3 linked regions of the Notamacropus eugenii genome follow. The protein of the gene in region 2 binds, or shares a complex with, the protein of the main gene of each other region. Links are inferred from orthologs where the notes say so. Each region holds a gene or a part of one and is shown on either strand. Other genes may lie near its edges.

The links.
Region 1: the proteins of ITSN1 (region 2) and FCHSD2 are in contact, whole or in part, in a crystal structure (PDB 6GBU), measured with the Homo sapiens proteins. The link is inferred for Notamacropus eugenii from reciprocal best matches to the Homo sapiens genes ITSN1 and FCHSD2. Residues at the interface, in NP_003015.2 of Homo sapiens: Pro1076, Ile1078, Gly1098, Leu1100, Leu1102, Gln1117, Ala1118, Arg1119, Gly1120, Lys1121, Lys1122, Arg1123, Leu1136, Ser1137, Pro1138; in NP_055639.2 of Homo sapiens: Tyr576, Gln581, Thr582, Asp584, Glu585, Gln602, Asp603, Asp604, Asp605, Gly606, Phe607, Val618, Pro620, Val622, Leu623.
Region 3: the proteins of ITSN1 (region 2) and AP2A2 are in contact, whole or in part, in a crystal structure (PDB 3HS8), measured with the Mus musculus proteins. The link is inferred for Notamacropus eugenii from reciprocal best matches to the Homo sapiens genes ITSN1 and AP2A2. Residues at the interface, in NP_034717.2 of Mus musculus: Asn841, Trp843, Ala844, Phe846, Ser847, Ser848; in XP_006536218.1 of Mus musculus: Glu308, Gly320, Val321, Glu324, Gln329, Gly331, Leu332, Lys333, Phe346, Gly348, Asn349, Lys350, Gly386, Ala387, Gln388.

Annotation. Positions count from the first base shown.
Region 1 is NC_092876.1:132,594,101-132,604,340, reverse strand, and holds the start of FCHSD2 (F-BAR and double SH3 domains protein 2), read right to left. Parts: upstream 4,347-10,240; 5' UTR 3,796-4,346; coding exon 3,775-3,795; intron 1,529-3,774; coding exon 1,431-1,528; intron 1-1,430. UniProt on the Homo sapiens protein: Adapter protein that plays a role in endocytosis via clathrin-coated pits. Contributes to the internalization of cell surface receptors, such as integrin ITGB1 and transferrin receptor.
Region 2 is NC_092876.1:425,620,772-425,630,262, forward strand, and holds the start of ITSN1 (intersectin-1), read right to left. Parts: upstream 3,874-9,491; 5' UTR 3,743-3,873; intron 3,722-3,742; exon of another isoform or gene 3,044-3,721; intron 1-3,043. UniProt on the Homo sapiens protein: Adapter protein that provides a link between the endocytic membrane traffic and the actin assembly machinery. Acts as a guanine nucleotide exchange factor (GEF) for CDC42, and thereby stimulates actin nucleation mediated by WASL and the ARP2/3 complex.
Region 3 is NC_092873.1:27,298,286-27,307,666, reverse strand, and holds the start of AP2A2 (AP-2 complex subunit alpha-2), read left to right. Parts: upstream 1-5,414; 5' UTR 5,415-5,563; coding exon 5,564-5,630; intron 5,631-9,381. UniProt on the Homo sapiens protein: Component of the adaptor protein complex 2 (AP-2). Adaptor protein complexes function in protein transport via transport vesicles in different membrane traffic pathways.

The sequences.
Region 1 (10,240 bases), about 290 Mb from region 2:
AGTTAGAGGTAAAAGGGAACTTACAAACAATTTGAGTCCAATCCCCTAGGAGTAGGAAGAGGAGAATCCTAAGAATGATAGTAAGAGTAATAATAGCTAGCATTTATATAGCTTTAAAGTTTGCAAAATGGTTTACAAATATTATTTCATTTGATAATAGCAAACATTTACATTGTGTGCCAGGCACTGTTCTAAGCACTATCTCATTTCATGCTCACAACAGCCCTGAAAGGTAGATGCTATTATTATCCCCATTTTATAGATGAGGAAACTGAGGCAAATGGGCTAAGTTAACTTGGCCAGGGTCCCAGAGCTAGCAAGCGTCTCAAGTCAGATCTGAATTCAGCTACTTAGAAGAGGAAACTGAAGCTGAGAGGTTAAATGATTTAGGCCCAGGGTCATCCAGCCAATAACTACCTGCCCAGTAAGTATATGAAACCAGAATGAACTCAAGTCTTCCTGATTTCAATTTTACTGTACCACCTAGCTCCCTCTTTTTATAGCCTTAACACCACCACCAAGGCTCTATCTCTTCATCTATAAAGTGGTGATAGTACTACTTAGAGAATCTACATCACAGGATTGCTGTATGGATCAAATAAGATAAGGTATTTTGTACATTTTAAGGAGCTACATAAATGTCAGCTATTTTCATGTAACCCCTTAATATAAATATTTTTCATTTTTTATACTAATACACAACCTTCATCTATTCTACTGTCAGTTGAGACTTCTAATAAAGTTTCTAAAATATTAATACAAAAAATACTCTCTCTTTTGGTACAGTCACCACTCCCTCTAAAGTTATCTAATTCCACAATGTTGCAAGGCATCCATCCCATTAACTGCAATGTTACCTTGACCATGAACATAGGGAATCTTCAACGATAAAATTCATCTAACACTTTCAATTTCCCTCTTGGATTAAGCATTCCAGGATCTGAAGCCAGATAGGTCTGGGTTTTTTTGATCAAGTTCCAGTGAATAATTTTTAACAACATTTACTTTCTGTTGATTCCAAAGACAGTTATCAGCAATCCCTGAAAGTGCCCACTTTGGTGTACAATGATTTTTGAGAATTCAACAGTTTAATAGGATTAAAGACAACAGAGTAGCTGTCTTTAAACATATATCTCAGGCATTCAGCTGAGAGACCATTTAAAATTAGAATCACTGTTATGATGCTTGACTTTCGTTTGATTTCTTCACAACTGCATTTATACACTGTAGCCTTCCCCCACTGGAGAGAAGAAAAGGGTTGTATTGTGCTTGCTTCAGTTATAATTTCCAGCTGTGTCAAAGCTCCAGCAGCCGAAAAGCAGGAAATCCAAGAGGAAATTCCATCATCAGTTCCTGGGGTTTTGTAACTCAAATGTTCTTCTAAAAGGGAGATATTACAGGATTTTTAAAGGTGTTTGCTGTGACCTTACCTCATATCTTCAAGTAAATCACATTCTGCCTGATGTTTGGCCTGAAGTTTTGTCATCTGTTCAACCTGAATATTTTTCAGTTCCTGTGTAACTTTCACCTAAAATATACCAGAAAATGATGAAGATAAGACCGACTGTAATGTGAACAAAACAAAAAATACTAAATTTTAAAATTATATGCCCATCTACCAGTTCACTAATTGTCTATCTTAGCATCTCCATAAAATAAAATGTTTTATGAACAAACTAGCCAAACAGGCGAAAATACTGGTTTAACTAAAGGGTAAATGACCAATCTCATTTAAAAGATATCAAGCTGGGCAAGTTGGATCATCATTTGAGCAACCAGGCACCCATGTTCTCTTATTGTTATCTAAAAGAATTTATCTTCTTTTTCTCCAAACATAAGCAAATATGCCCATCCATGCTGTGGGGGAGGGGGGAAGGAGGGGAAATGAAGCGAAGCTGTCCTCCCTCACATATATAACCTCTAATAAACTCTAGTTACACAATCACGAAATGGGCATCGATTAAATAAATTATTCCATAATGGCTGCATGGAACAAAATCCTGAGAATGATACACTCATCTCATTGACAGCCCACACAATCACAATCACTCACTCATAAAAGAGAATACACACTAACTCACAGAGGGAAGGGTAACCATTTAGCAAGGAGAGTGAACTAGTATCCTGATAACTTTAGCAGTTTACTTCAAACGGTGTGTTGTTTTTTTTCTGGTGAGCTGGGGCTTGTTTGTTTGTTTTTAGTTGGAGGAGGGTGTCAGAATATTTCAGTGACTTGAAGCCTATGCTGTTGGGATAAAAATCTGTCTAGCACTATGAGAGCTATTACCCAGCTACATTGGAGTGTGTGTGTGTGTGTGTGTGTGTGTGTGTGTGTGTGTGTGTGTGTGTGTGTGTGTGTGTGTGTGTGTGTGTGTGTGTGTCTCTGTGTGTGTGTCAGACATTCCCAGAAAACAAGGGCCGAATCTGTTAAACAAACCCGGATTTAAATAAAAATGAAATAAAACAGGAAGAACACACTAGTGGAATTTGACATTAAGCAAATGTTTAGCTTCAGAAAATAAACAGTCCCACTCTAAAAGGCTAAAGGTGGCCTGGGGTTACTTAGAGTGAAAGGATGGTTGTTTGTGATGGGAGAAAAGGTGGTGTACACAAACCTGACACAACTCCTTCCCTCTTCCTATACTGGGCACTCAGTCCTATTGCTTCACTCATCCGGCCCTACACTAGAAACATAACCTCAGCTGAATACACAACTTCCCCACCCCACCCCCATCTTAGCGATAGCGGGGGACTCAGACTGAAGCACCTTGCCCAAACGGCAGGTAGGGCTATTTAGAAACATGGAGCTTTATGGAATACGGAAAGGTGGCACCTCATTTTCCTAGCAGGGAACTAGAGGTCACCTAGTACAACTCCCTCATTTTACAGACGAAGGAAACTGAGGGCCAGAAAAGGGAAGGGACTTTTCCAAGACAACGTTACTAGTGAGTTAGTGTCAAGGGCGAGATTGAGACCCAGCTCTTTGCACTCCACCACGACTGCTCACTTGGGAAAGCTCGATAAACCTTCCTGGGGAGGGGGCGGGGGGGGGGGGAGAAGGTGAGGAGAAAAGGGGTGTGCCCATTTCAACTTCTCCCCTCTGGCTCCCAGAGGAAAACCAGGCCCAGGCGAGGAGCGGAGAACACAACCAAATCCTGCAAAATGGGGGGCGGCGGGAGCGGAGGGCGAAGCCTTGGTGCAGACTAAACAATAATACACACACTGAGTCGCACAGGCTCTGCAGAACTGCAGGGGCTTGCTCGGTTCCCAAGCTCGCTGTGCCTCTGTGCAAGCCCGAGAATGCACTTTGCAACCGGAATCCACTCTCCCGGCGCGCACCGCACACACACACACACACACACACACACACACACACACACACACACACACACACATATACATACATACACACACACACCACACACTCACACATCCATACAACTCCTTCTGCAAACCGCGCAGGCTTCCACCTCATTCCCAAAGAGAGGGAGCGGGTGAGGGCGGAGGGAAGGTGGGCCTCGGGGGGCCTGGGGTGGCAGCTGGGCGAGGAGAGAGACCCACAAGCGTCCCCTCACCCCCCAGCACCCCGGCTCCGCATCCCGGGCTGCGGCGCCCAGAGAAGCCGCGAGTGCCTGGGCTGCTGCGGGAGGAGCAGATCCCGCCCGGGGCGGGGAGAAGCAGTCTTTCTCCTTGGCAGCTCGCAGCAGCTGCGGAGCCCCCCGCGTGCTCCCGCCCCCCGCCCGGCCTCAGCCGCAGCCCCGCCGGCTCGCTCACCTTCCTCGGCGGCGGCTGCATGATGCTGGAGGGACATGAATCCTCTCCCGGCGGCGGCGGCGACGGCAGTAGCAGCAGCAGCAGGAGAGCGGGGACGGAAAGGGGGAGAAGAGGAGGGGGTCGGGCCGGACCCTGCCCGGGAGTGTGCGGGTATGCAGCTTTCCCGGGCAGCCCCAGGAGAAGGAGACCCAGGGGAGGGCTGGCTGGGCCCGGTGCGTGTGTGTCTCCCAGTGTGTCTGTCTCTGTGTGCAAGGTTTCCCTGGCGGCCGCAGGAGGAGGAGACCTGGGGAGGGCTGGGCTGGACCCCGGGCTGTGCGTGTGTGCGCGCGTGTGTGTGCCAGAGAGCGAGCTCCCGAGGAGGCGGGGACCCCGCGCGGGGCGGGGGGCTGGACTCTGTGAGCGACTGGGAGGGGCGGGGGGCTGGCTCTCCCCAGGAGCAGGGGAAGGAGGAACCCCGGGAGAGGGCAAAGAGGGACCAGGGATCTCTGTGGCCGAAAAGAGGCGAGAATTACGCGTGGGGTGGGGATGGGGGGCAGACTCCAGGAGTAGGGAGGAAGGCAGGGGCTCAGGCCCTGCCCGAGGGAGTGTCTACTACTGGGGATACGAGTGGGCTTTGAGAAGGGGAGGAGGACTCTGGGGAAAGTGGGTCAGGGGAAAAGTCTGCAGTTTCCCCCTTCTTCCGGGAAAGAACAGGAAAGGGTTAGTGCTCTCAGGCCTGAGGAAGAGCGGGTCCGGTTCCCTCCATCAGGAGAAGAGAGGAATTTCTAGTCCCTCGAATCCGGTGGAGCGAGAGAAAAGATCTAGTACTATGAGAACACTTGATTTGGGATCAGGTGGACCCGAATTCAAATTCTGTTTCCTCCTACGTTATCTTGTCCAATGACTTATCTCTCTTGGGCCTTCCTTATCTTCCAAATAAGGGGCGCAACCTCCCAGGTCCCTTCTGGCCCTAAACCTTATGAGCCTGTGAACTCATTAGGATACTTTGTAATCTCTTCAGGTCTAATACTCTCTGGTCAGAGGAAGAAAAGAGGGAGGGAGCAGAGCCGAGGGAGAGAAAGGAGTGGTCCCGTTGTCTTAGGTCAGAAGAGAAGGGGTCGAGTCAGAGAAGAGGGCCAGGTTTGGTCTGTCTAGATCTAGGAAGGGGAAGAGAAGACTTGGTCCCCTCAGAAGGGGCAGGACCGGCCCTCTCAAGTCAGAGGAGAGTAGAAGGGCTGAGGTGGGTCCCCCACCCCAGTTAGACAAGACCAAGACCGAGTCCCCTGGCCCAGAGGAGGGAAGGGGGCTGGTTTGGTCCCCTGGGCCAGAGAAGGGGGCTAGTCTGATCCCCAGGGGTGGTTAAAGGATAGATCTGGTCCTCTCGAGTCAGAGGAAGTGGGCAGGTCCAATTCCCTTCGGTCAGGGGGGTTCCCTAGGGCCAGAGGAGGGGGCAGGTCCGATCCTCTCCAATCAGAGGAGGAGGGGACAGTTAAGAGCCATAGATCAGAGGTGGGGGGCAGTTCTGGTCCCCTCAGGTCAGAGGTGCGGGGCAGGTCCGAGCTTCTCCAGTCAGAGAAGGGGCAGGTCCCAAGGGGCCGGGTCTAGGGCGGGGCCTCCGGGAGGGTGGTGGCTTAGCCTGGCGCTCTAGGCGAAAGGGGTGGCCTTCTCGCCCCTACTCGGGGCCCGAGGCAGGGGCGGAGCCCGCAGGCCCGCTGCCTGGGCCGGCGCCGACGCTCCTCCTCTTCCCGCCGCCCCTCCGCCCCGCCGGGCCGCCGGGCAGAGGCGGTGCCCCCGAGCTGGCCTGGCCCCTCCCTCCGTAGTGAAGGCCTCGCGACGCCCCTTCGCTCCTTTCAGGGGCGGGGCCTCCGCCGCCATAGAGCAGGCGCCTAGACTTCCCCTTGGAACAGCCGGACTTGAGGAACAAGTGGCGGGGGGGTGATGCCAACAGGACTAAAGTGGAAACGGATGGAGCCGCGGACAGAAGGAGAGGACCCCCCCCCACCATAAATTGGAGTGTGGAACGTTCCAAACACTCCCCTCAGCCTCCCTCTTATGCACAAGGGACGCTTTACATGCGCCTTCCCGCCAGTTCGAGGCGCGCGCAGGCTCCAGGAGGCTTTCCACTTCCAGATCTCCACCCCCACCCCTAACACGCCTCCACGCCGGAGGGTGGGAGGGAAAGCTATGCTAATACACGTACGCACTATAAGCCCCGCCCCTTCCTCTTTCCTCTCCCTCCTCCTCCTTCAGCTCGAGTGCAGCTGCGCGTGCGCGGCGCTGGCTCGCTCGCGTGTGAGGCTGGGGTTGGGGCCGCTCGGAGCAACGCGTGCGCCTGAGGAGGCAGGTACCCCAGCCGGGCACGCGGAGCAGGCTGGGTTTGCTCCGTTGGACTCCTCCTTTCTTGTACATTTCCACCCCCCCTCCCTAGTTTCGTTCTGGTACTCTAGGACGCTGACCCCCACCGTGCGTCCGCCAGGCGGCCGCGTGCTTTCGAGGGGAGGGGCGCCCAGCGCTGCTGCTTCTGATCGGGGGGAGGGGCAGTTCTCCTCCGGACGAAGGAGAGGTCATCCCGAGCTGTCATGAGAAATTTCCCTGAACCCTTTTGCTCTTTAACCGTGGCCCATTTGGTTCATCTGCCACTGCCTCTCGGATCAAATACCAGCCCGTCTGTTTTACATTTAAAGTACTAAACCCCTAGACTTTATGATCATCTCTCATCTCCACTCCTTTGCACAGGCTGAGCCCCATCCCTGGAATTCCCTCACTGCTTCCCGTCTCTGCTTACAGAGACATTTCACAATTAATAGTTTATTTCTAAACATAGGTGAAACACCATCACTTACCTGAGACCTTTCCTGATCCGGGCACCTCTGCCCCCCAAAACTCACACACACACACACACACACACACACACACACCTTTCTTCCCAAGGTGTTATTCAGTCTTGTCTGACACTTGGTGATCCCATTTGGGGTTTTCTTGGCAGAGATACCGAAGGAGTTTGCGTTTCCTTCTCCAGGTCATTTTACAGATGAAGAAACTGAGGCAAACAGTATTAATAAGTGACTTGCCCAGGTTTACACAGCTTTAGTATCTGAAGCCAGATTTGAACTCATGGAGAAGGCCCAGGAACTCTATACACTATGCCACCTAGCTGGCCCTCCTCAACGTACCAGCCTTTCATTTTCAGTATACTTAACCATGGTGTCCCAAAGGTTTTAATGCAATTTTAAGCTTTAATAGCTCCAAGCATGAATAGCTGAAAACTGCACTAAGATTTTTGGGACACCCTTTATGTTTGTGCGTTGTCTCCTCTTCCCTCCCTCTCCTCTACCCCACTGAAGGTAAGCTCCTTTGAGAACAGAGGCTGAGGAAGAAAAGCTCTTTCCTAGAAGAGGGGCTTTGCATTTCTAGGAATCCTAATTGAAATAAGATTTGGAACTCTGTCCCACAGGTATAACAACCTTATCCCCTCCTCTCACCTCCCTTCTGTTGTTTCCTTTTCTTCCCCTCCCCTGGCCTCTCCTGCCCTCTCGTCTCTCTCTCTCACACACAGAGACTGTCAGAGCTGGAACAGACTTTGGAACATGAGTGTCAGCTTTTAGGCCACAGATTTTAGAATGTAGAATGTCGGATCACACTGACCTAGGCCAGAGTTGGGGGATGGGGATGGGCTCAAGTCCTTCCACTTCTCAACCTTTCATTTACCCCCAAGAAGGTGTTCCAGTACCCTTTCTCTTTGTCATTTACACTCCACAGCTTTCGTGGATAGCAAACCTAGCCACAATCCCCACAGATCTAGCATGGGAAGAAACACGTGGTATATGCTCAGGTTATTATGGGGAGGAAATGGAAATGCCTTAATGTGTCCCAAAAGCATTAGAACAACCTCTTTCCTGTGTGATAAAGTGGAAAGAGCCTTGTACTTCAACTTGTCAGCAAGCATTTAGTAAGTCCTTACTGTGTGCCAGGTGCTGTGCTAAGCCCTAAGGATACAAATACAAAAGTCAGACAGCTGCTGCCTTCATGGAGTTTGAACTTTCTGCTGCAAGGATACCCCTTGTTCACAGATGAGTGAGTAGAGGGAGCATAAGGTATGGAGGCACTGATAATTCCATATCACAATTCCTGAATTCAAGTCAAAGCTCCGCTTCTTACTAGTTGTATGATAATGGACCAATTTTTTTTCCTGAACCTCAGTTTCCTCTTCTGTAAAATGAGAATCAAAATCCTTGTGCCACCTACCCCCACAGGGTTATTAATAATAACTCATTTCTATAAAGTACTTCGTAGCCACTCTGCAAAATGGGTAAGTTTTATAAAGTCAATAAGATAGTAAATGTGTTAAGCACCTACTATGTTCTAGAGACTGTGCTGAGCTTATTATTTTTTGTATTACCGTTGGGAAAATGGATGACCAGAAAAGTGAACTGATGTGCCCAGGTTACAACCTAGTAAATCGAGGAATTAGGGCATCAACTCAATTTCCTGCCACTCAACTCATTGTCCCTTGCTGTTTTTCAACAGTAAAATATTAAAGAAGCGTACATTTCTCCCTCCTGCCCCCAAAAAAGTTTCAGAGTTCTTCACTTGGAAATTCTGTCTCTTTCTGTTCATCTTCCAGTTTTCAAACTAGCTGCATCCACCTCCTTCCCTAAAAGGAACATCTATAGCTATCCCATTTCTCAGGTATTTCTGCTGGTTATGCTGTTTCTTTCCCCTGCATAGTGTCTCTTCTGAGACTATTAAGTGTCACCGAGTGCAGGGCCAGGCCCATGGTAAGGGCTTGTGGATTGATTGATTTTAAAGACAAGGTAGCTATTAGGGCTTTGTGCACTGCTGTGCCCTGGGGATGCTACAGAGGGTTCTGTCCACTGATTGTTGCTTGTTTTGACAGGTTAAGAAATACCTTTCTCTGCCATTTACAGAACTTCAAGGCTAGAAGGAAGCATAGGATATTAGAGCCAGAAGGGACTTTACAGATCATGTGGTCTTACAGATGTGACTCAGAGGTTACATGACTTACCCAAGGTCACTTGGGCAGCAGAGTCAGAAACGTGACCCAGTCGCTCTTTTGTTATTCTTACCTTACACCAGAGGTATCAAACCCATGGAGGAACATGTCAGTGGGAAATATTTAACACAATAAAAATACATGAAATAATCCATATGATACATATGATAATAGGTGGTTTTCTAAGTTATTATATTGCTATGAAGATCCTTTTTTAAGGTTTAAAGGCCCCAGTTTCTATTTAGGTTTGATACCACTCCCATATATAATATTACCTCTTCTAATCTATACCCAAGTAGATATATCATCATACACTTTCCACTTGAAGACCTAGCTATATAATAATAATCCATTTATATAGTGCTTTAAGGCTTACAAAGCTAACATTCTGTGTTCTAATGTCCCTCCCACCTCTGATGTCCTATGTTCTAAGATACCTTTGAACTATCACACATCCATTTCTATCTCATTCACACTTGAGCCAGCCCCTCCCCTCCCTGAAACAGCCTAAAGTGAGACAATATTAATCTTGGGTCCCAAGATCACTAATCTCTCTTGGCCTCAGAATTTTTATCTTTAAAAGCAGAGGGTTGAACTAGCTCCCCTCAGGACCCTTCTAGCTCAAGATACATGATCCTCCTTCCTTCATGCAGACGACTCCTCAATTTAGATCTCCATCCTTGACTTCTCCTGCTGCCCAGACTTTCATCTCCAACTGCCTCCAGGAGCCAAGGATGTCTCACTGACACCTCCATTAACCCCTCTGTAACTGAGCTTCTTCCCTTTCCCCCTAAACCTCCTTTCTATAATCCCTCTGATAGGACTTATTTCCCTTTTGCTTCTCATACTCACTGTGGTATAATGGAAAAAGCATGCTAGACTTGGAGACAAAAAAAGACTTGAGTTCCAATCTAGTCTCAAAAACTATCCATGAAACCTTGGACAAGTTGTGACCTCTGAATCTCAGTTTTGTCAGCTGTATAATACCTCACCAAGCGAATGAAAATATATATGTAAATATATATGTTAAAATATGTAAAGAATTTTGCAAATTTTAAATGGTATGTAAATGTCATTATCATCTGGTTTGTTTAGTGTGTCACCAAGTCCTATCTCTTCTATCTTCAGAACACCTTTTGAACCCTCCCCTGCCATTATCATACCACCATGATTACTGACAGCCTGAAATATTAAGTCTTCTTCCATCCTTTACTCTTTCTTTCCTAAATGTGTTCTTGGTATGACTAGCAGGATTAGCTTTCCTCGGTTCCAGAACTGTTCCAGAGCCCATCCAGGATGGTTGAGGCACAGGGAAGAGTGGCCACCATCAGGGGCATCCTACATTTCTTTCTTCTTTACCCAGGCTACTTGACTGCTCACAAGGTTTAGAAGAGACAGGAGTCAGCAACTCCCTTCCTTTTGAAGGGATGGAAGACCTCTAGGCCTTCCCATCTGACTTGCATCTTTCCTTCC
Region 2 (9,491 bases):
CCTGGATGAAGCAGTTAGGGTTAAGTGACTTGCCCAGGGTCACACAGCTAGTGAGTGTCCTGTGTCTGAGGCGAGATTTGAACTCAGGTCCTCCTAACTCCTGCATTGGTGCTCTATCCACTGCACCACCTAGCTGCCCCGAGTTTATTTATTGAGTATGGAAGTGAAATGATCAGACCTATGCTTTAAGAATAATCAATTTCACAGCTGTGTGGAGGATGGATTAAAAGATAATAGAAGGAACCAAGTAAGAGACTATTGCAATAATCCACATGAGAGGTAATGAAGACCTGAACTAGGGTGACATTTGTCTAAATTGAGAAAAGAGAACAGATGGAAGAGATGTTGTGGAGACAGAATAGACAAGATCTAGCAAGATATATAAGTGAAGGGTTGCAGTCACAAAGCTAAATAGAAAATAGAAGGACAGCAGGGCCCTGAAGAGATAAAGTTTAGAAGGTTTACAGGTAGAAAATTAAGAAGTTTGATTTGGACATGTTGATTTTGAGCTAACTATGAAACATCCACTTTAAAACACCCAAAAGTCATTTCATGATGTGTGCCTGGAACTGAGGAGAGTGACTAGAAACATATATCTGAGAGTCACAGAGAGGACTGCTGAGTTATGTGACCTAATAAGATCACCAAGTTCAGAATTACAGAATAAAAGGATTTGAAGAACCTTCAATGGCCATATGGTCTAAAAGAATCCCCACTACTCAACAAGTGGTCAGCTTTTAAGCCTTTGATTAAAGACCTTCAAGGAGAGGGAAATTACTACCTCTCAAGGCAGCTCATTCCATTTCTGGACAGCTCTAATTGTTGAAAAATTTTCACAATCTCAAGCTGAAATCTGCCTCTTTCCAACCTCTACCCACACAGCTCCTAGTTCTTTCCTCTGGGGACAAATAGAACACATGACTACCCCTCAAATACTTGAACACATGCCTTCCTGAGTCTTCTTTTCTCCAGGGAAAACTGGTCCAGTTCTTTCAACTGATTCTCATTTGTCATAAACTGAAGAGTTCCTTCACCATCCTGATTGCCCTCTTTTGCTCACTTTGCAGCTTACAATGCCCTTCTTAACCCATGGTGCCCAGAACTGGACACAATATTCCAGATGAAGTCTGACAAAAACAGAGTACAGTGGGATTCATTCATCTTAATGTATATCTGGAGTAGGAATGATTGATAAGACAATGAGTTGAGACCAGAAATGAATGGATGGCACTTGAGTAACTGTATAGTCTTTACAAGAAACCCAAAATACTCCCCAGGACAAAAATGCATCATTTTTAACACACTCTCTCATAAGGCTAAATGGTTTGTTTCAAATCTCAAAACACCACAACATCTAAAAAGTCAAAGTTGCAAGTAATTCAAAGGGCAATGAAGAATTGCATGATGGACACAAGAAGCCTGTTCCCAACCATGAAATGTACAAGGCAAAAAGAACATCCAAAAAAATTCTACTTAAAAAAGGTGGAAGGACAATTAGACAAAACCACAAGTTTAGAAATTCTGCACGTTACATTACAATTTCTTTCCTTTGGCAAAAAAGAAACTGATTGATGCCACCATTAAATAGTAGATACCAAAAGTTTTCCTATTTTAACAACATACCAAAATGTCCTTGGGAAAAAAAATCTGCCACAGTTCCAACGGACTGAATACAATAGCTATCGTAACTAATTTGTTTCCTAAAAAGCAAAAATTTATTTTCACTAAAAAAAGAACAGCTGAATCAGGACAAAAGTACTCACAGGAAATATAATCTATAAAGTTGTCTCCTAATTCAAAGGCAAACAGAACTAAAGGCACAGGAAGATGATCCCACATTGGCTTCCTTTTCCTGAGGGTTCCAACTACATTTTCTTGTTTAATTGGCCATGTCCTTCTCTAGGTAAGAGACACGGCAATTGCTCCTTCAGTTGGAATCATAAAACTATGCATGTGGAAAGTGAAAAAAGGAGCAACAGACAGGAAAATCAAGAGAACACAAATACAAACACGCACTATTGGTGATGACCTTATCAAGCCAGGAGACACGAAAATTATTCTTTCTGTTCACAACATAAAACTGTGTGCAGAGGGAAAGGAGGGAAACTGGGAAAGGAAAAGCAACAGAGATGAGAAACCAAACCCATACACGCCTCTCTGGTGGTTCCAGAGAGGGAGATCACAGCAAGAGAATGGATATTAAAACAGGATCCGTGTCCTTCAGTGACACTGGTTTTTGCGAAACCCAGATAAGGATGAGCCAGGGAGAAAAGACTGAAAAACCTATGCCAGTGAGCAGTGAGTAGCTTTGCCAAGAAAACTGGGAAGGTTATGGCTTGGATTATCAAACCCCACCATGACTAGTGGAGGGGTGGGGGGAAGGGGAAGGCTCGTCCGGGAAGGATCCAGCGCCCCCAGCCCCGCAACACGCAGGGGGCGGGGTGGAGAAGAGGGAAGATAAGAGAAGAGGGTTGCTCTTTTCCCAGCCAGGTGTTGAGGCCCGATCAACCTGAAGCCCGATCCTTAAGACACCAAAATCACCCAACAAATCACCCTCGCCCGCCAGGGACTCCTAACTGCAAATCACCGCCAAGGTCTCTTCCTTCCAGGGGCTCCTCTGGGGCCCCGAACGCGCGGAGCCCACCCCTCACTCCGGCCCTGCCCGCCTCGGCGGCGACGAAGGACGACGAGAGAGAGAGAAGGGCAGGGCGCGGGGGAGCCCGGGCTCCGGGGATGGGCAGAGGCGCTGGGGGCCAAAGGCGGCCAGGGGGGTCGCTGCCCAAGTCTCCACCCGGGCGGCCGTGGCTCCCCGACCCGGCCCCGTCACCTCCCAGGGAGATCTCTCTCCCCACACACACACGCGCGCACACACACACACACACACACACACACACACACACAGGCCCCCCCCCCCCCCAGACACACACGCACACACACGCACGCACACACCCGCCGCCTCCACAGCTCCGCGATCCCGTCCTTTCTCTGCTCCTGCCCCCTCCCCCCACGGCCTCAGCCCACCGCCAGCTCGCCTTTCCCCCACCTCATCTCCGGGCGGGATCTGCGCGGTCCCAGGGAGAAATCAGTGCCGGGCACACGCCCCGGGGAGGGATGAAGACGCCGCCGCCGCACCGCACACCATCCCCTCCAGTCCGGGAGCTCTCTCGGGATTCTCCCTTCCGAGCCGCCGTACTCTGGAGCACCCAACTCTATCTATCTATCTATCTATCTATCTATCTATCTATCTATCTATCTATCTATCTATCTATCTATCTATCATCTATCTATCTATCAATCCATCATCTATCTTTCACCCTTCCCTTCAGTCTCGCGCGCTCTCCCCTCCTCCGCCTCGGTCTCTTTCTCTAAACCCCCACTCTACCCCCCAGTCCCGCTTGCACTCTCTCTACCTTGCTCCCCGCCCACAGATGTGGGGGGAAGGGAAGCAACCTCTCAATCCCGAGACTATGGCCCCTCCTACCTCCCGGGAAGGAGGACTCGGACGGTGGGCCGGGCAGGGAGAGGCGGGGAGTGAGAGGGGCGGACTTTTGCACGCCCCGCCTACCCCGGGAAAGGAGGAGGGAAATAATGACATCCAAATGGACCAATAGGAGCTCGGATTTGGAAGTTGGGGGGGTGGGCTCCGCGGCCAGAAGGGAGGGAGGGTTGATGTTAGGAACTGGGCGGGCTGGCATGGGTTGGGCTTTTCGGTGTAATCATTGCACAATCTCGGCCTTTTCACCTTATGTGATGCTGTCACATGCTACGTGGTGCCAGACTGAGTCTCTCTCTATGCTCCGTCACGGTAGCTATTAAATATATTTAGCTGGAAGGGACAGAAAAACCGCCATCGCCCAAAGGCAAGAAGGGCCTGGGGCTCAAGGGAGGGGCGGGGGATTAAGAAGGGCGTCTCCTTGACGACTCACTCAATTTGCATGAAATGGTCGCCTGAATCATGAGACCACAATGCCCAACATGCTTTCGTGAGCAAAGTCCTTCCCTCGCTTGCCGTGGCTCCTGGTGAAGCATGCTGGGAGACGTAGTCTCTTTTAGTTACCGTAGCGCTTTCCTTCCCACGCTACAAGCTGTAGCTGATAGACAGAGGGTATAGGGCCAATGGGGGCAAAGTGTTGGGTTTAGGGGCGGGCTTTAAAACGGAATGACCCGGGACTGAAGAGGACGTGGGGAGTGTGGGTTCCCAATTCTACTCAGGTATGTATCTTCAGCCACCTTACAGTCCTCCTTTCTGGCATGAGGAGGAAGTAGGTTACCGGGCTCGTGACGCGGCGTGGAGACTTTTGGGGAGGGAGGACGGCGGCCCGAAGCCGTTGACCGCCACGGCCCTAGTCCAGTGTTTGGGCCCCGACAGAGCGGACGCGAGTGACGAATTGGCGTTTACGGCAGATTTTTTCTCGATTTCGAACTAGAAAAGATCTGGGAGACCATTTAGTGCATGCACACATGCACACCCCTTACGGACGAGGAAACAGAGCCGGGGGAGTTAGGAGGCCCCATCTTGTTTGGTTTCCCCTTTTCCGCGGAAGAAAGCCTGGTGTATTTTCGGTTTGGACCTTGTCCGCTAGGGGGCGCGGTGGATCGTGTTGTCCCTGGCCTCGGGAGGACCTGAATTCCAATTCTACCTCCCACGTTTTCTGGCCTTGGGACCACCCGGGGCAAACGCCTTCGCCTCCGGTTTCTCAGCTCTAAAATGGGAATCGCCATAGCACCTTCCTCCCTGGGTGGTTGTGAGAATCGAATCAATCAGATATTTGTAAAGCATTTGGCCCCGTGCCTGGCATATAGTAAGTACTTAATAATGTGGGGGGGTTTTCCCTTCAACTTTTGTTTGCTTGTGATTCGAATAAAATTGAATTAACTTTTTTTCACCCTCTGTGGTCAATTGGCAGTATGTTGTTAGTATGGCATCTTAAATAGGTCCCCTTATCTCTTTGAGTCTCAGTTTCTTAGACAAAGGGATCGAGCTGTAAATGTTCCCGCAATGGGTGATTCTTTTTTATTGCCTCCTTGACTTAGGTTGTGTGACGTTTGAGAGCTTTTTTTTTTTTGCAGTCATCATTAACCAAAAGTCACAGGACCCCTATATAGCCTTGTTGTAGAGTGTATTATAATGGTCTAATACTGGGGGTGGGGGGGTTCCAGTCCTCACTTGTGATCTTTGTGTACAGAATTCTCTTTGTGAAAACTTTCCCAACTGATAGAGACGTCAGTCTTCTTCCTCAGTCTTGAAAGTTGGTTGGGGGAGTAAGGAAACAACTATTTATATTAGGTGATTACGCTATGCCAGGCACTGTGCATATTATCATCGAATATGAGGCTGGATTTGAATTCAGATCTTTCTCCCTCCAAGCCTAGCACCCTTATCCACTGCATCACCTGGTTGCCTTGCTGCTGGGAGCATTAAGAATTTAAGTGACAATCCTCATCCAATCACAGTTACTATGTATCAATTCTCTGTATATTTTAGAAATGAGACTTTTGTCAGAAACATTGTTTCCCAGCTTTCTGCTTTCCTTCTAATCTCGATTGCTTTGACTTTGTGCAAAAACTTTTTCATCTAATGTAATCAAAATTATCCATTTTGCATTTCATAATGTTTTCTATCTTGTTTGGTCATAAATTCTTCCCTTCTCTGTAGATCTGATAGATAAACTATTCCTTGCTCTCTTAATTTGCTTATGGTATCACCCTTTATGTCCAAATCATCGTACTTAGTGTGTGTACAGAGGCACTAACCACTGACTTTAGAATTTTCCTTGACCAGAGAGGTTTGTTGCCCGTCAGTGTTGACTTTGTTGGATATGTGGTTCTTTTGTCTCTAGTGTTTTTGTTTTGTGCCACTTCATGCCCCTCTGCTGGTGTTTGTCTGAATTGTTTTTGTATTTTTCTTTCCTTACCTCTTAGTAGTGCACTATTCCTTATCATCCCTATTTTTTATGCCATATTTGTTAGGTTTTACTTGATTGTTTAACGTATACATTGTTTCCAGTATTTTATTAGAAAAATAATACTTTGAGAAAAGGTTTTATGCATGGGGCCTTTAGTTTCCATCACTACCCCTGGAGTACCAATCTGAGTCAAGGGGTATTCACAATTAGGTAACTTTTCTAGCATAATTCTAAATTATTTTCAAGAATAGTTGAACGCCTTTACAGCTCTACCAACAGTGAAATAAGCATACCATTTTCCTACAGTTCTTTTAACAATATATTTTCCAGTCATTTAGCAGCTCAGAAATCAGTTTTTGAAGACCCGTATATTATGCAATAAGACTACTCACTATATAAGCCTAAACAGTCTGGCGCACAAGATTTTCATCCTGAGATTTCCTTTACCTCATTTACAGTTATGCTTAATTTCTCCTTACATATATGTATTCATCACCCAATTTCTGCTATAGACAAGTATTTCTGATCTTTAGCTTACAAAATGAGAGCTAGAGGTATGGACAAAGTATTATGCTAAAAATGGAAACTGTGGCATAAACCTGGTCAGCAGTGTTCTTTGTAAAAAACTGGACTGCCTCTAGTTTAAAGTACAATCATTTATATAATTTTGCCACTTTCTTCTGGAGTCAGATACTATGTAGGAAAATATACTTGAGAAACTGATAAAACTGTTCCACTCATAATCAGAAATAGACTAGATTTATTTTTACTAGGTGTTTATTGCTTTGAATAGCAAAAAAAGTATATAAAAATTCTTAAACTAATACTTGGCTGCAAATTAGAAAGTCTAGAGTGCAAATTCTGCCTCAGCTTACTCACTATATTACCTTAGGCAAGTCACTTAACTTCCATGAACCTGTTTCCCCAAATATAAAATTGGTATAATAATAGTGCCTACTACACTGGGTTTATATAAATCTCAGATTTTACTTGGTAATGCTGAATTACCAGTTTAGTAGTGAATCTGTAATTCAATAATTGTGTGATAGCAAACACCTTCTTTCCCCCTTTGAACTGTACATATGGATTTCAAAGATGTTATTAGACTCAAAAATTCCATCTGTTCAGTGAACATTTTTATCCAAAGAAAAAGAATTTTCTTGGGAAAGAAATAATTTAAATACAAACAAGTCAGAGTATGAGCATGTGGCATGTGAATTATTTTCAGTTTTCATTAATTATAAAAATATTTATTTGACCATTTTTACCTACTGAAAGTTTTTCATTCCTTTGTAAATATTTTGTCATTCTTATAACTCATTTTTGCAACCCAAACAAGAGAATTAAATTATTTCCTCTTACAGTAAGCTAAGAATTAAAATCAGAAGTCTTGAACCACATCCATGTTAGATGCTTCTGGGAGATTGAAAAGGTTTATTAGCTTTGCTTTGATAACGCTGATGAATCTATGATTTCATTGAAACAGGTATTCTAACAGTACAAATTGCAGCCCATCTGTAACCTCTCAGCCTATGCTACTCTTGTCTGTGACCGTCCATAAATTCTCCTTAGAAAAGAACCAAGCATTCTGGGGACTTTCTTCTCTTTCTCTTGATACTTCATGAATACCAGTACAGCACTGGAGCTGGTCAGTTAATATCCTTCATTATATGGACCCATCTCTTTTTCCAGTTAGACACCTTTTGGATGATCTCCTTCATGCCATTTCTTAAGAATGGCCTTCATTGGCATGTAAAGTTTACTCGTACTCCCCTTGTGCCTGTACATTTCCTTTGGGTAACCCCAAATTTTAATTCTTCAGAGACTTTAGTATCCCATGACTCAACGCTGCTGTATAGCATCAACAGAAAATTAGTGGTATTAAAAAGATGCTGTTCTCTGAAATATTAAAAGCCCTGAACAGTTCTTCAAAGGCAGTCCAACTAGCACCTCCAATTCAGTTCTGGACCCAATTCATTGTCCTTCTGCATTGTTTGCCCAAAATATATGCACTAATGAACCAGTTTAACAGGTGGTCCATTATTGTAGTCTGAATAATAAGCATTTTTTGTACACTTAGTCTCTCAATATGAATAATTAAGTCAAACTCTTGAACACTTATAGATCTCCTAAATGAAATGTATAATGTCATAAATACTAAATTCCTACCAATTACTACAATGCCCTTCACAAACAGGAACACCTGTTAAACTTCACTGTCTACGTAGAATCCCTCTTGCATTTGGACTTTGTGGGATGTCCTTCATGAGAGTGGCAAAGACTTTTAGAAAGCATATGTCTCAAAAAAAAAGCTGCCTCCCTATTTTATACACATGCCTTTATGTTAATAATCAGGTAGTTGCTATACAAAGTTATTACACACTTCGAAGAAGCTTGTGTGATTTAGACAGTAATTGGTTGAATGGAGAACCTTAAAAGTAATGTTTTTGCTCTAATGAATCAAATGCTTTTTAATAGACGACACACTCTTAGTCCTATTCTTTTATGCAGTTGTGTGAAAAAAGCTGTGGTATGCTATAGCAAATGCATGCCTGTTTCCTCATACTTTCTGTAGAAAAATTTGTGTAGAGCCCCTATGGGGAAGTATGGGCAGTAGTATTGACATTTTCTTGGTTGCCTTTTTGAGGATAATAATAGTAAGGCCTGAAGTTTTGCCCCAAGAGTTTGGTACCTTCCATTCTTTCAGCTCTCAATACTCCTAAAATTGTGTCAGACCTTGTGTGTCCTTGATCTAGGCCAGATAGGCTTCATATCTTGGTTTTCTTTAGTGCCAGAATTGAGTCAGAGAAAGGAATTAGGCTGGATTTAAGAAACTGTGTAATACTTTTTCAAAGATCTTGAGCTGCTTGCTCCCGCAAAAACATCCTTTTAACACCATTAGTGTCTAAATGATGTGTGTGGCTATAAATCACAGAACACCATTATCTCCAAATGACAACATTTGCAGATGAAACAAAATTCAATGGTAATACAAAGGGTATTTGTAAGTAGGCAGTAGAATATTACCAGTGATGATTTGCCCTAGCCAGGTAATATAAAACATCATAAAATGTGTGTGTGTGTAGAGTATATACATACACATACATACATACATACATATTCATACACACACACACACACACACTCCCTCTGAAAAAAAAGAAGCAGATCAGCCTTAAGAAAAAGTCAACAGTTGGACATCCTGAGTGCTCCGCTGATACCCGTAAAATATTAAAAGTAGCAAAGGAAGCCCTCCAAAACATGGAACAGATCCTCCATGGAAGATTTACCCCCCAAAAAATACAGGAATTGCAAGAAATGAGAAGATATGAATGGATTTTGATGTACAAAATCCCTTTCCTGTACCTCCTTTCTGAAAAGTATCTCATTAATGTTTCTTCTTTCTTCTACAAGAGACTTCTCTTGTTCCCCAACACATCTGTGCAATAGCAGCCAACTTATACCCCAATCAATCCAGCAATCAGCATTTCTTTAACTCCTACTTCATGACAGCTACTGTTCTGGTCCTGGGCATACAAATAAAAAGATTGGAACAATCCCTGCTTGCCAGGTATTTACATTTTC
Region 3 (9,381 bases), on a different chromosome or scaffold from region 2:
CCAGGCTCTGGCATGATTACAATTGCTGAGCCTTAGCCCTGGTCTTGATGCCCAGGTGGGCTGTGGACACCTTGGTGTGGCCAACATAGAATTAGTTATTCCTTATGAGGCCAGGGTGAGGGTGGGATTGAAACCATGGAGGCAGACTCTCCTCCTGAGCAAATAGCCCTCCCTCTCTGCCCCCTGCCCAGGAACCTGGGCAAACCTGGAGGGCAGGCAGAGTGGTCAGTGCCTTGGCCTGCCCCACTCAGTTATGGTGGTCTCCCTGCTCATTTCTACCTCTTGTCACCTAGAGCTTCTCTGGCTGCCTCTTCCTGCAGGAGGCTTTCCCTAATTCCCCATAGCTGCCCAGGCCACACATCCCAGTCTCCTGCCTGGACCCCCCATGAAACTTTGTTCATGTTTGAATGTACTTGTTTGCGTATCTAGATGGAATGTAAGGTCTGTCTATCTCACTTTTCTGTTTTTAACCCCAGTAAAAGTGCACAGTGCCTGGGGCGTGGTAGATGTCAAAATGCCTTTACAAATGGCCTCCACCCACCCTCCTCAGCTCACACAGCTCCCCTGGCCCTTGCCAAGGCACTTTCAGCACTCGTAAGAAGGAAGAAGGATCCCCTTGCCCTTTGGGTGGGGCCAAGATCTTGGCATAGTTAAGTCACCAGGATTAAAAAGAGTTCTTCTGGAAAGGGCTGGTAGAGCCTGTGGTACAGAGAGCCTCAGGCATCTTGGGAGTTGACTTCTGTGCCCTAAGGGGCCTCCCCAGAAGGCGCGCTCCCCAAGGCCAGCCTCTATCTGCTTCCATGAGCACTCTCCTCCTCCCAGCCCAGGCCCCATGGCCTGAGGTCTCTGTACCCCCCACCCACTCCCCCATTGGCCTGGAGGCCCCCTGCAGGAGGAGAGAAAAGGGCTCCTTTTGGGTATTTGCTTAGGCAAGGGAAGGCTACTTCATTATTCTCCTGCAAGCATTGAATCCGGTTTGGGGGGTTTTTTGGTAGCTGTTTTTTCCAGGAAACCCCCAGGCCCTGCAGTGGCCACTGGGAGAACCTGACTTCCCTTTTCTGAACTGGGTGGAGACCTCGGTTTGGCCACAGCTGTCCAACATCTGCCCCAGCCCTGCCCAGAAGGAGCTTTGTGCCTCACATCCTGGCCAGAGGGCGGTCTCTCCCAGAGGTCCTTGCTGACTGTGAGGCCCTGGCTCTCCTCTGGCCGGTCAATCCGCCTCCCCCAGGCTTCATTTCCCCCCTAGGCCAGGGCTGGCTGGGGTCTTTGTCAGGAAGAGCCGGGCAGGAAGGGGGAAGATAGGGAGGCTTTCTCAACATTTCTGGACAAAGCATGTGTCATGCCTCTTTTCTGGGCAAAGTGCCTCCAGATGAACCAAGGTCCCCCTCCCTGTTCCCCAGAAACCCCCAGCGAAGCTTCCTGTGGCTCCTGTTTTCCAACCACTCAGCAGATTCTCCCCTGCCCCCCCTAGCCCCAGACCAGCCTGAGGCGCCCCTCCTCAGGAAGGTGCTGACCCAGTTCTTTGAAGATTTCTTCCTTCTGCAAGCTCGGCAGCTCAGCAGGGTGAGCTCCAGGCCCTGGCCCCAGCTCCCCCTCCCCCAGGCAGCCCACCAGCTTCTGGCCAGGCGCTGACTCAGTGAGTGGAAAGGACCCCTGGGAACTCAAACTGAGCCTCCTCTTACAGAGAAGGAACCAGGCCCAGCACAGAGGAAGAGACTTTGTGCACTCCAGAAGCTGAGCCGAGTTCCATGTCCAGCCTTCTGTCCACACCCTCATTTACAGAGTAGAAATTGAGGCCTAGGGAAGAAAGGCAGATGGGCAGCAGCCAGAGGAACCTGAAGACAATTCCTCAGATTCCTGAGGCAGCTGGGTGGTACAGTGGGTAGGGAGATGGTCCTACAATCAGGAAGGCCTGAGTTGAAATGTGACCTTAGACACTTTCCAATGCTGTGACCTTGGGAAAAGCCCTGGGATAGTCAGGGAACAGTTTGACCAGGTCCCTGGCCTCAGAGAGTTTACTTCTCCTGCAGAGGAGCTGCCCAGGGAAAGGAAGGGGATGAAGCCTGAGAGGAGGAGGCCTCTGCCCTTCCCAAGGAGAAGGCTGGGTAAAGCAGCAGAGGAACTCAAGGACTTGTGTCCTTGCCAGGTAGCTGACACCCATGCCTCTAGCCTTTCCCAGCTCCAGTCCCTACTCAGCACTGTGCCTGAAAGCCTGGATTCAGGAATCATCTGTGGCTCCCTATGGCCTTCAGAGAAAAATGCAAACTCCCCTGTTTGACTTTGGAAGCCCTTGCCAGTCTGATTCCAATCTGGCCTTCCAGGCTTTTTTCACTCAAGTCCTCCCCATACCTGACATTCAGCCAAATTGGCACAGTCATCACTGAACATACAGGACATTGTGGGGTGTATGGGGTGTTCAGAGGGGACCAGCCTCCGTGGCATGAGGGCTACTGGGCACTTCTCAGGGCTGCTCATCCACCTTTGGTGTCCCCCTGACACCCAAATGTCACCTGTGGCTTCCAGGTGTGTGTGTGTGTGTGTGTGTGTGTGTGTGTGTGTGTGTGTGTGTGTGTGTGTGTGTGTGTGTGTACACAGTACGTATGGGGTGTTTAGGCAGGACAAGCCCCTCTGGGGTGAGGGCTGCTCATCTACCTTTGGTGTCCACCAGTGGCTCCCAGAAGCTGGAGCGTGTGTAGTGGTCACACCTGGTAAAATCATCTGGGCACATGGGCTAAACCAGGTTGAGGGAACTGAGGGGTCTCAAACCCATCCGTGAGTTAGGGGGTGTCTCCTCCAAGCAGGTGAAGTCTTCTCCCAGCAGAATGGGTAGATGAAAACAATTGGTTCCGCAGCCATGAAGGCGACTGAGGGGGGCGCCATGGAGTGCTTGGAGCCTTGTCAGGACTTTGTACCATCCTGTCTCACTTACATCCAATTCAGGAGCAGGGAAGACATCACCCCGTGAGGTCACTGGTCCTTATCCAAAGGAAGTTGGAACAACAGCAGGACATTGTGCCTTTGCAGGGCTGTCCCCTCGTCTCTTCCCTTGCTCATGGCTCCAGTCCATAGGAGGCCCTTCCTGGTCCATCCTTGACTGTCTGATTCTTGTCACCCATCCTGTGGAGGAAGCTTCAGGGGCTCCCTATCACCTCTAGGAGTAAAAATAAAACCCTCCACTTGGCTTTGAAAGTATTTCCTCCCCTAACTCGCCTTCCCCGCTTCCAGTCTTCTGACAACCTTATCCATGTACTTATCAGTTATTAAATAGGCAATCAACATTGATTAAGTGCCTACTATGTGCCATGCAGCATGCTCAGCACACAAAGCTAGCCAGCGACACTGGCCTCCTCACTGTTTCTTAAACAAGACCCTCCATTTCCGGACTACAGGTATTTGCCTTGCCTGTGCCACCTGCCTGGGTCTTTGCCTCCTGGCTCCTCTCATCAAGTTTCAGCTGGAACTGGCCTGTTGGTGCTTTCCTCGTTGCTTGAGTGTCTCAGATCCATCCAGTTTAGAGCTGGTTTGTACCTCACTCTGCATGTGGTCTCTCCATGATTAGCTCACAGTCCCTTGACAGCAGAGGCCATTCTGCCTTTCTTGGCATCCCTTGTGGTCTATATATACAGCTCCTGGCACATAGTAGGCACTTAAATGCTTGTTGACCTGACTAGACTCATCCTACTAGTTGCTGCCAATTTACAATCATGGGCACCAGCCTCTTCCTTTAGGAGAATGTCAGGTTCCTGCAAGTTGGGACTTTCATTCTGTCTTGGTTCTCCTAGCCTGTGGCACAGGGCTTGGCTCAGAGGGGGCAGTGAACACATGCATATTGGGTTGGCAGGACCTCTGTGTGAAATCTCTCTTGGGGGGAGACATTGCTGTTTAGCTATGGAGTAGGCGTTTAAGAAATGTTTATTGGCTGACAGATGGTCTGAACCCCAGCTTCCTGACTGAAGTCAAAGAGAGCAAAGTTAGCTCATTCCAGGCTAGGGGCACCACAGGGCATAGAATGCTGGACCTGGCCCTGGGTAGGTCACTTATCTTCTGCCTCCCTGCCTCAGTTTCTTCATCTGTAACATGAGCATCTATAGCACTTCTCTTGAAGGATCCACTGAGATATTTGCAAATGCTTTGCCAACCTTAAAGTCTTCATGATTAAAGCTGGGAAGCATGGGTGGAGCTAAATCATGGAGGGAGGAGAATGCCAGGGCCAGGGATTTCCGTTCTCTGTGGTAGGCCACAGAGAAGACCTGAAGGCTGTACCAGTGGTCTATGATGCCCTCATTCAGTTGGAGATGTAAGAGGTTAGAGGCCCACTGAAACTTCTCTAAGAGAGCTGAGAGAGGACTCATAGAGCCTGGGAGGCCTTGGCCCCTCTCCCCATGGACCACATTTTCCCAAGTCTCCATTTTGAGGAAGGTCCTGCCCAGCAGCCTCCTTCCTCCAGTCCTCTCTGTAGCTTGGGCACCTTCATCCGGCTCCCTCCTCCTCCCCTTGGAAGACAAGCTCCTTGGGGCAGCTAGCTGGTGCAGTGGCTAGAGCATAGGCCCTAGAGTCAGGAGGATCTGAGTTCAAATCTGCCTTCAAACCCTTGATGCCTCCTAACTGTGTGACCCTGGGCAAGTCAAATCTGACTGCCTTAAAAAAAAAAAAAAAAGGAACCTCCTTGAGGGGAGCTGCTATGTGTCTCTCACCTTGGATTTATACCCCTTGTGCTGTCAGTGCCCCAGTCATCTTAGCTGGAGGGCAGGAGTTTCTGGCTGGGTCACCATTGTGGAAGGCAATGAGCCTGTCCCATTAATGCAGGCCCCCCTCCCTTCTCTGCCCCAGGGGCTGCTGCCCCTTACGGGGCGTTGGACCTGTGCTCCCCAGACCTGACTCTGGGCCAGAGCCTGAACCTGGGCCTGGCTTGGCTATGTCCCCAGTGCCTGACACACAGGAAGCCTTCCTTCATGGTCTGTGCCTTGGCCTGAGCTCCTGCCCACTGGCCCAAGGGTGGCCCAAGGTGGCCAAGGGTGGCCAAGGGTGGCCCAAAATGGCCCAAGGTGGCCCAAGGTGGCCAAGGGTGGCCCAGGGTGGACCGGGCCAGAGGCCTTTGAAGTCCAAGGAGGGGAGTCTGTCCGAAGATTCACCGAAGCCTGGGGGCCGCTGAGTGCAGCCTGCATCTGGCTAGGATGCTGACAATAAGCTTAGCGAGTCCCACGCGCTTCCCTGCAAAGACAAGCTCGCACCCTGCTCTAAGGGCTGGCTGCCTCCTGAGACCAGCGCAGGCCGGCGCATGCGCCCTGACTCGCCGCTCCCCCGCCCGTCGGGCCCCCACGCTGCTTCCTCCGACCTGGAGGGGGCGCTCGCGAGCTCCCAAGGGCGCGGGCACGGCGTGCTGGCGCCCGTGTGCGTGCGTGCGGACACGCGCACGTCTGGGCGGGGCGAGCGTGACCGGGGGCGCGCGTGCTGCTGCTGCTCCAGCTCCTGCGGGGGAGAGACAGACTGAAGCAGAGGCGGCGGAGACCCGGAGGGAACCCCAGGCCGGAGCCGGAGCCGGGCCGGAGCCCCCGCCGCCATCATGCCGGCCGTGTCCAAGGGCGACGGGATGCGGGGCCTGGCCGTGTTCATCTCGGACATCCGCAACTGTGAGTGCGGGGGGGAAGGGGAGGGAGCCGGACTGCGTGTTCCCCCCCCCCCCCGGGCCCCCGCCCGAGCTGCGGCCACTGGGAAGGCCTGGGGACGGCCCGGCGCTGCTCCCCTCCCCCCGCGGTGCTCCCCTCCCCCCCGCGGTGCTCCCCTCCCCCCCGCGGTGCTCCCCTCCCCCCCGCGGTGCTCCCCTCCCCCCCCGCTGTGCTGCCCTCCCCCCCCCGCTGTGCTCCCCTCCCCCCGCTGTGCTGCCCTCCCCCCCCCCCCGCTGTGCTGCCCTCCCCCCCCCGCTGTGCTGCCCTCCCCCCGCGGTGCTCCCCTCCCCCCCGCGGTGCTGCCCTCCCCCCCCGCTGTGCTCCCCTCCCCCCCGCGGTGCTGCCCTCCCCCCGCGGTGCTCCCTTCCCCCCCGCGGTGCTCCCCTCCCCCCCCCGCTGTGCTCCCCTCCCCCCCGCTGTGCTCCCCTCCCCCCCCCCCCGCGGTGCTCCCCTCCCCCCGCTGTGCTCCCCTCCCCCCCGCTGTGCTGCCCTCCCCCCCGCGGTGCTCCCCACCTCCCCGCGGTGCTCCAGCTCGGGCGGGGCCAGGCCCGGGCGTCCCCCCGGGGGGAGTGGGGGGGCATCCAGGGCCGGCCGCGGCCTCCCGCCCCTCCCGCCAGCCCCCCTCCCCCCGCCCGGGGTTCCTGGGGCCCCGGGCCCTCCGGACGCGGAGAGGGGGCAGTGACAGGTCTGTGTGGCTCATTCATTTCAATTGCTTAGGAGGGAGGCCTCAGTTTCCCACCTCCCCGAAGCCTCGGACCCAGCCCCCCTGCGGGCTGGGATTGTGTTGGGGGTCCCTGCCTGGACATCCGGCCGCCCTTGGCCAAGAACGGGGAGCCGCTCCCCAATGGGGGGGTGCCGAGCTCCGGGCTGGCCTTGACCCGCGGAGCTGTCCCCGGGCCGGCCCAAGGCAGCCGGCCGCCGCCGATCCCGGGCCAGGGAGGTCCTGGCCATTGTCCAGCACCCCGGAGCCTTCCTGCGATGCCCAGGGCCCGGGCACGCCCCCTGGGCCGTCGCTGCCTTTGGAGGATTCGGGGATCAGGGGCAGACCTCATTTCCTTATTCTTGAAAACCGAGACACACCCTCCAGATGCCAGGCTGGGGGGTCTCTGTGGCTCAGCCCCCTCCAAAGCCCGGCCAGCTTCCCTCCCGCAGCCCTAATTACACCTGTGCGTTGTAAGCTCCCCAGGGCTGAGCTTCCGCGGGCGCCTGGGGCATATCCCCTGTGCCCCCTCACCTGGGGGCTGCTGAGTGCACCCAGCTGGCCTTCTCACATCAGCACACAGAGGGAGGACTGTATTCACTGGGTCTGCCTGGTGATTGGTTCCTTGTCAATGATCATGTACCGTGGCCCTCCTTCAGGGAAGCTCTGGCCTCATTTGGCTGGAGGTTCCCTAGTTTGGAGTCTCTGTGCCCCCCCTCCCCATTCCTGCCACATGAGGAATTCCTGTCATTGTTCTTCCTGAGGTCTAGCCTAGATGGTCTGTGTGCCCTGTGTATCCCCTGAGGGTCTGAGTGCCCCCCCCAAGCTCTGTATGCCCTGTGTATCCCCTGAGGGTCTGAGTGCCTCCCCACCCCAAGCTCTGTATGCCCTGTGTGGCTTGTGTGGCACCTGAGGGTCTGAGTGCCTCCCCCCCAAGCTCTGTGCGCCTGTGTGCCCTCTGAGGGTCTGTGTGCCCCTTGTGGGGCTGAGTGCCCTGTGACCTTCCCTTTCCTCTTTGTCTTCCCTTACATTTCTGCAGTCCAAGCTATCCATTTAGTTAGGAGATGACCAGATATTGGACCTACCTTCTCTTCCCCCCAAAAAGAGACCAGTTGGTTTTTTTTTTTGAATGAATGAATGAATGAACGAAAAAGCATTTGAATGCTTAGTGTGTGTGCAGTGTGTTTTGTTCTTTCTAATGGAAGAAACATCATGCACTGGACAATTTCCACTCTGAGCTGGAGAGAGGGTCCTCACGTTCTTTAGGGTGCAGAGGGCTGTCTTTAGGGTCCTTTCCAACAAGAAAACCAAAGCAGCCTCTCCTGTTGAACCCCTCAATAAGGAGGTTGTGTCAGCATTCTGTGGCAGGCATGTGTAGACATGGGCTTAGAAATCAAAGTTTTTGGGAGTCTAAAGGCCCCTTAATCAGAGTAGCCAGGATCACCAGGCTCCCCAAATAGGTCCAGGTGAAAACATTTTGGGCCTGATGTGGGCAGTGAGTCTTGAGATGGCCCAGTAACATTCAGAGTGCTTTGTCGGACCTCTTTTGCCAGATTCTCAGAGTTTGGAAGCTTTGTCAGAGCTGATGCCTTCAAAGCAATAGGGCGCCTGGACTGGTGAGCAGCGGCTCTGAAGCTGGCAGGGTCCTGTTGCCCCTTGTGTCTGGGGCAGGAATACCCTGACTCATTTTCCCATATTGGTCTTGGAACTCTGGGTGTTTGGGGTGAAGCTAGAGACTCAGCTTTTTAAAAAGGAGGATCACTTGGATTATTTTGCGAGTTTACGGAAGCTTGGCCACTGGTCACTCTGGGGTGCTTAATGTCTCTTTGGGAAATGAGTGAATGGCCGCACTTGAGAGTTCCTCTGGCAGAGAGTGGCAGGCTGGCAGGGAGGGGAGGAGCTTTTCAAGGAAAGATGGTGTTTTCTTACCTTTCTTACCTTTCAGCCTCACGTGAAGCCTGCCAAGGGCAGCCATTATTAGGTTGGGGTCCAGATGAGGTTCCCCTTTGATCTCAGGCTTCAGGGATGGCAGGCTCCCCATCTTTTTGGTCATACCCATTCCTCCCTGCCACCACTCCACAGACACACACACAGACACACACAGACACAGACACACACAGACACACAGAGACACAGAGACACAGACACAGAGACACACACACACACACACACACACACACATTCCTCCCTGCCACCACTCCACAGACACACACACAGACACACACAGACACAGACACACACAGACACACAGAGACACAGAGACACACACACAGAGACACACACACACACACACACACACACACACACACACACACGATGGTCTGGAAGTTCTTAGAATCCGCCTTGCTCCAGGTCACACCTGCACAGCCTGGGGCCCCACCACTGTCTCCCTTGATGACCTCATCATCTCCCTCGGGGTCAGTTCTCAGTCTCTGTGCACATGATTTTCAGGGCTAAACTCCCAGACCTTTTGTTTCTCCCAATTCTACCCTGATTGCCTGCTGCACGTCCTGTCCACATTCCGTACTTCTCAAACAGCTTGTCACCCATTCTGCTGACAGTCACCTGAGGTGCCCCTCACTCTCACCCTCCATGGAAGGACCCTTGGGCCTTGCCTTGGCCCTGCAGCTGAACTGCTGGCTTCAATTCTTGCTTTGAATATTTGTGTCATCAGCCCTGGAGGGGAGGGGGCTAGGCACTGTGCTGATCCTCATAGAACTTCTGTTAAGGGCTCATTTTACAGTTGAAGAAACTGAGGCAGGCATCAATGACTTTCCTAAGCCCCCTAGCTATCGTGGTAAACACTTAGTAAGTCCTTTTCTATTTGCTCCATACCTCTCCTAGGTGTCCCTTCTCTGCTCGTGTAGCTACCCCTCTGGCCTGGGCTGTCATTAGCAGCAGCCTTTTGCCACCCTTTCCCCCATGACTTTTTCCTCCTGGGTCAGTCCTCAGTTGCCCCTGCCTGCCTTTCCAGCTTCTGCGCTTCCTAGCCTTCCCTGCCTTGGAACTGCCCTG